Linked DNA regions of Caenorhabditis elegans. The protein of the gene in region 2 interacts with the protein of the main gene of each other region in a pairwise test. Each region holds a gene or a part of one and is shown on either strand. Other genes may lie near its edges.

Region 1 (3,757 bases), on a different chromosome or scaffold from region 2:
AATCTAACCCGTTCTGATACAAAATCACAGCGATCTGATAGCTGTCCGGCTATAGATTTGACAGCTGCTGAGAGCAAGAATGGAAGAGCACTAGCGAAGCCAGTTCCGCGAACTTCGAAATTCAAAACTTCACGCAAATAGGTTGGACCGTAGAGTACCAAGGTTAAAAATCCGAGGTTTCCACCGATGTTGGACATCCAAGTGACAAGCACACAAGGATCCTTGCAAATAGCCAAATATGGAACTGGTTCCTTATGAGTTACAGTCTTATCTTGCAAGATAAGGCTTAACTCTTTGTTCGAAACATTCCTATGATCTGTCGGAGAATCTGTGTAGAAAAAGTAGAACGCCAGGAAAAATACTATGGTGACAATTCCGAAGAGGTAGTAGATCGATCTCCACCCCCAGGATGATTCACATAGGAATCCAGAAATTGGCATGCAGATCACGTTACTCCACTGGAATGCACACGATAGAACTGCCAAAAAAGTGCCAGATTCATTATTTGGAGCCCATGCTGTCGGCACGGAGCCCAGAACTGTAAAGACCATACTAATCCCCAATCCTTGTAGAAATCGCACTACAAGAACGCTGAAAAAGTTCCACTCGACAGCTAGCGGGAATAGTATGGTTCCGAGTATTGAGAATACACCACAAATGCTCAATACTAGACGAACACCGACTCGATGCATTAATGGCATAGCAATTAATAATCCTAATAGGCCGCCGACTGCCATCGATGAAAATACCAGAGATTTCATGTTACTATCTTCAAACCAATGAGTTTCGTTTGGATGAGTGATATGGTAATCGTCTGAGACATCTGACATACAGATTACTGTGAAATTGAACGCCAATGAGTTCATTTGGAGCAGTGTCAGACATGTTAATCTGAAGAAGTTTTGGTATTATGGGAACGTTGAATTCTGAGAATGCGTATTGGGCAACATATTTGACGCGCAAAATATCTCGTAGCGAAAACTACAGTAATTCTTTAAGTGACTACTGTAGCGCTGGTGTCGATTTACGGGATCTCGATTTTTGAAATGAATTTCCCTTCGTTTCTTCGTTATATTTTCTCACTTTTTGCTTAATTATCGATTTATCGATAGAATAGTAAAATTGAGCCAAAAAAAAAGCTAAAATAATACGAAGAAATAAAGGTGCTAGGCTGACCCATCACGGTTTGATCTACAAAAATGCGGGATTTTTTTTCCAAAAAATTGTGTCGTCAGCACGTTCTTAACCATGCGAAATCAGTTGAGAACTCTGCGTCTCGTTTCCCGCATTTTTTGTAGATCTACGTAGATCAAGCCGGAATGAGACACTTTGACACAACCCGAAAATGGAATAACGCTGTTCTGTCACAATTCGCCAAAAAAAAAATCGAGATCCCCATAAATCGACACAAGTGCTACAGTAGTCATTTAAAGAGTTACTGTAGTTTTCGCTACGAGACATTTTGCGCGTCAATTGTGTTGCGCAATACGCAATCTCAGAATTTTTTGTTCCTGTAATATAAAGTGATCGAACATTCTCAAAACTTACGTCAGAATCAAAATCAAATATCGCGTCAGATTGCAACACAATATTTTTGAAGTCTTCCTGGAATTCTCCGACATTTCATCTGATTTTTCAATTTTTTCCTCAGCATCGCCGACTCGTCGCATCCTCTCTCTAAATCAAAAAATGGAAACGGGGGAAAAAAAAACATTAATAGATTTTAGAAATCAATGGAACATTTCAAAATCATGAGGAAAAGAATGACAAAAAAATCACAGAAATCAGAATACCGTCGAACAACTCCCCCCAGTTTTTATCGATACACTGGCTGCTGATTTGCATACGTTTTGAATAGGTGATTTGTGGTGCGAGTGTGTTTGGCACACGATTTTGAACTCTGGATCGGATTATTGCTCTTAAAAATATTTTGTAATTTTGCATCATTATACCGGGAAAAGTCACGTCATCTGAAATTTGTTTCGAAGATCGGAAGTTTTTTTAGGGGCACTGTAGGAATTTCCGTGTCGGCAAAACTTCTTTGATGATAGAGATGTTGGGTGTTCCGTTGAACTCTCTGATCCCGAAATAGAACACAATCTGTGTCTGAACATACAGCAAACGATTTTTTCCAGCAAATCGGCAAATTGACGGAATTGAAATTTTCTGGCAAATTGGCGGAATTGGAAATTTCCGGCAAATCGGCAATTTGGCGGAATTGGAAATTTCCGGAAAATCGGCAAATTGACGGAGTTGAAAATCTCCGGCAAATTGGCGGAATTCAATTTTCCGGCAAATGGGCAAATTTCCGGAATGGAGAATTTGCCGGCAAATTTCCGGAATGGAGAATTTTCCGGAAAATCAGCAAATTAAAAAAAAAAAATTAGAAAGCAAATTGACAGAACTCAAATATCCGGCAAACAGGCACATTTCCGGAGTTGAACATTTCCGGCAAATTGTATTAGCAGAATTGTAAATTTCCGGCAAACCGGCAAGTTGCCGATTTACCGACTAAAAATTGCCGCCCATCTCTGACACAAACTGTGGCTGAAACTTTTCCAATTCGTGAATGAACAAGAAAAAATTTGATGTATTTCTCCAAGTTCGACATAACCCTATCAGGTTTTTTGCCACTGATACCAGCCGTTTGCCAGCTGCCGTTGGGAGCTCTCTTCATCGAAAGTGCATGTTGGTAGAGCTAACTGATAAAGCGTGGTGCCACTTGGTGCTCTTTTTACCTCCGTGATAATCAGGGGGGGGGGGGGGGTGATAAGTTGAATAATTTATTGCCCAGGTCTGCCGGTTTTTCGGTTTTTCTTTCTTGAAAAACCGAAAAAAGTGGTCAAAATTGCCCAAAAACGAAAATTCTTCGGTTTTCCAAAGAATTTTCGGCGGCACCCCTGCTTGGGAAATGAAAATTCCTTTATACTGTCGACAAAGAACTGTTGAGCAGAGTCGATTCGTTTCGAATTGAATTCAATTAAAAAAGTCGTTCCTTTGGAATTTTCCGCTGCCTCTTTCGAATTTGAATATTATCCAGTTTGCGATTTTTGCCTGTTTTCCTGTTGTTTATGGTGCAATTTAGTGATTCATCACAAAAATGGTCTCGATTCCCCTCCTCGTGAGACTCCTCGTCATTCATTTTTCCAATTTCGCTCCAATTCTTCTATTGTCTTCTCTCCGACGATCGGTGGTTCGGTTGTAATAATCAAAACATACAGAGAAGGCGCTCCGCCTACCCCCATTCGATCATCCACCACGATCAAGGCTTCAAGTGTTTCATTTTTATTGAAAACTGACGATTATTTTCCTATCTCTCTCTCTGTTGATTTGATCTATTTGCTCTTCTCCTTTTGATTTGACCCCCTTTAGCGGTGGGGGGCGAACTGTTGCGCCACTGTTCCACGTGGGGAGAGGGGGGACGATTTTTTATCCTTTATTTAAACCGAAGAAGCTCAACCTACTACTCTCGCGGCTTTTTTCGTCGGCTCATTACTTCTTGGTCGACAGTTTTTTCCTTCACTGGGTTGTAATATTCTGAGAATGCACATTTTACAACACAATTGACGCGCAAAATATCTCGTAGCGAAAACTACAGTAACTCTTTAAATGACTACTGTAGCGCTTGTGTCGATTTACGGGATCTCGATTTTTGAAATGAATATTTCTTTTCGAATTGTGACAGTGATATCCCGTTCTCCTTCGGTTTTTTCGTATTTTTTAAGCAATTGCAGTGCATTTGTTTTTCCACTTCTAC
Region 2 (3,247 bases):
GAAATTTAAAAAAAAGAGGGTACTTGTGTATTACATGCCCTCATTTTCAAATTAAATTATATTTTCCCTAACTCCTCCAATTAAATAAAACGTGATATGCATTTTTCCTCTTTAGGCTTAGAAAATGTTATATCCTAAGCCTAAAAATACAAAAGTGTGGTTCACGTTTTTATTTTCCATAACTTAAAAAAATTACCATTAAAATGAGGGCATGTAATACACAATTACCAAAAAGAGAAATTTGTTTTAGTTTCAGCACATAACTATTTTATGTTACAAGTATGTTTCCACACGTGAGTTTTAGTTTAATATTTTGAGAATTAAAAACAATGATCTATAGCAACATCATTTTTTAGCATTTATCATCTCTATTTATCTCTGCCACCTTGACATTTTCACTGACATAAAGATATAAAAAAATTTATGTTTTGTCAGAGAAAGTTAATCTTGATATTTGTAAAATAGTGAAATTCCACAGGAGATTAACATTATGACGTGATTTTCAATTTGAAAAATTATTTTAATTATTTTTATATTGTGGGTGGATACTTTAATTCGTATGTATAATATATTCTCAAAGAAACAACGAAAGAATTTATTACTTTGTGTGCGACGATGATGTAATAGCGGAATATTGGATTATCAAACTGATATATAGTTGATAAAATGTCACTTTGGGTGTAGTTACTCAGTCCAGTGTTCCTGTTATTTCCTGCCAAATGCTCCTGAGAAAAATCTGCAAGATTAACACCTGCATGTAAGCCTGTTCGAAAATAGAAAATACCTAGGGTCATCGATATCAGATCCACGTTTGTCGTACATAGTGTACCTATGCAAATCGGCTAGTGAAGGGAGGATCATTCGTTTTCCAAAAGACATTGTCATCAATCTGCAAATCAGGTTATATAAAAAGCAAAGAAAACAAAAATCAAGTACTAGTACCTCGGGTCGTCCAAATCATCCATGCTTCGTCGTTGAATTCTAATTGCGCGGTAGCTCTTTGGATATGCTTGTGGCTCTGACTCAATAGCGGATCTTTTTCCAAACGAAGATGTAAACATTCTGAAATAAATTGTGTTCATATAGTGCAGAAAAAGAAAACATTAACTTACCTCGGATCATCGAAGTCGGCTTGCTTCAAATACCTGAAAAATAAAAGTATAGGGGTCTTGAACTTTTGGAAACGCTGAAATAGAATCTCTCAAGACTATGGAATTTGAAACTTATTTGTTTGGCATTCGATAATTCAACAATATTTTTTGATGTCATTCAAATATAATGTTGCAGACTTACAAAGCAGATGTGATTTGACTAGCAACACCGAAGAGAACCACAATGAGCAACGCCGCCTTGATATACATGATTACCACTGAAATAAACTTTATGGTGATAGGCTAAACAGAGAGGTTAACGAAGGAGGAATACTAATGATGGGAGATCATGTGAGAAATGAAACACGAAACATCATCCCAAAATAAAATCTCAGCACATATCAGGTCAGGTCATATATACATGAGTTGAATATATCAGAGCAAGTGGGAGTGGGAAAAGTGACAGGTGGAAATACTGGGTGAAAACTTCTAGAATGTTGAAAGCTGGACAGGAAAGGAAATGATTGATAAGCACACTGGGCTTGATTGAAAACGAAATGAAGACCACTAGTAGAGGGCGGAGCTCATGGTGCTCGGTTGTCTTCAGCCACGCCACCCCTCACACCACCTTGTAATCCGCCAATGGATAGGATTAGTTATGAAAATTGTCAAACTGAAGATTTCGATTCCTCTGTCTCTTGTTATGTGCCCACCACGTTGAGAAAAAAAGGCGGGACCGCCGTTGTATAGAGGAGCACCGAGAGGTATAGCTGGAGAGAGGGATGAAAAAGAACACCGAGTCAAAACCGATTGACATCATGTCGTAAATCTTGAGCCAAAACAAACCAAATCACGAATACAAGGTTGAAAAAAAAGACCGGGAGAGTGCAATAAAAAATTGGGCCCGTTCCTTTGATCTTCCCTTTTCCCACTCACTATTCCGTTGAGAATCTGTCTGCCGAAAAAAAAAAAGAAAAACGAGATTGGTTCGCAGATTAAAACTGCACATCACATTGCATTCCAATTTAAACCGACCATTTATGCACATGTCTTGGTTCACTGAGAACACAGATTGATTTTGATTCGGAGAAAGTTTGACAGGAAAGTTCAGAATGTCGGAAAGTGGAGCCACATACAAAAAAAAATGATTAGAAATTTTAAAGCAGAACTTGTTGCTTGAATTTACTTTAACAATATTGTGAAAAATAATCACTAATAACCGAGTTCGCTGATTAAAAAAAAAGACGATTTACACTTGAGTCATGTCTTATGCTGGTAAAAAAAATCATATATCTATTTTAGACGCTGTCCATAGAACCTAGAACCAAAAAAAGGAGGCTGAAGTAATTAAAAATTGATAAGAAGAGGGAAGAAGAACTCAAAGGATTGTGAATGAATTGCTAAGTTGTCCTACACGTGAACCACCCTCGTGAAGAGTCTGCAAGTGGGGGAGTATGTACGTAGACTTAACTTTTTCATTCCCATGAAACATGTAATTACGTAGGTCGTGTCATTTGCACTGATTCATTGCAAAACATGAAATAGTAGCTTTTGAATTGCTCTTCTCTTTCTTCCGTTTACAAAGAGTAGAAGGAAGAAAGAGTTAACAAGAATAATGCGAATTGTGTCATTAAAAACAATCCGAGGAAGATGGAGTGGGAAGCAGTACAATGGTTCGAACAATTTAATTTGATCTTCTTACGGGCACTTTTAGATTTTTCCGACTAAGGTTTTCCAAACAACAAATTCTAAAAAATTGAATATGAAAACGTTTGTCTAGACAAATTTCTATAGTAATTCATGTCTTTCAATACTACCGATATGTGGTTGTTAATCGGAAATTATGTAACTAATAAGGAATAAATAATCATGAGAATTTACATAATAGTTATCAATCAAGTGGAGCATAATCGAGAAACAATGTCCTGGATATTTCTCAATTACTAAATACAAGATGATTGACATTTCCTTATACACAATTTTGAAGGAAATGGATTAACTACAAAACTATACAACTGAAACCATAAATGAACTGAAGTGAAACCCTGTTAAGTTTTGAATTTCAAATTTAAACCTTATTTCCAATTCCTCAAACCCACGTCAGGATTCACACTTATTAGAGATTAGAAGACGGATTTTAGTAAATGCGAAAGCAA

The links. Proteins that work in one complex are often made in the same cells at the same time.
Region 1: the proteins of nlp-7 (region 2) and C01B4.8 interact in a two-hybrid assay, tested with the Caenorhabditis elegans proteins (one large-scale study listed by BioGRID).

Annotation. Positions count from the first base shown.
Region 1 is NC_003283.11:2,488,425-2,492,181, reverse strand, and holds the start of C01B4.8 (Major facilitator superfamily (MFS) profile domain-containing protein), read right to left. Parts: upstream 1,671-3,757; coding exon 1,549-1,670; intron 892-1,548; coding exon 1-891.
Region 2 is NC_003284.9:8,591,309-8,594,555, reverse strand, and holds nlp-7 (Neuropeptide-like protein 7), read right to left. Parts: upstream 1,376-3,247; 5' UTR 1,362-1,375; coding exon 1,294-1,361; intron 1,146-1,293; coding exon 1,113-1,145; intron 1,063-1,112; coding exon 943-1,062; intron 890-942; coding exon 745-889; 3' UTR 737-744; coding exon of another isoform or gene 706-736; 3' UTR 520-705; downstream 1-519. UniProt on the Caenorhabditis elegans protein: May regulate lifespan in response to food availability and oxidative stress.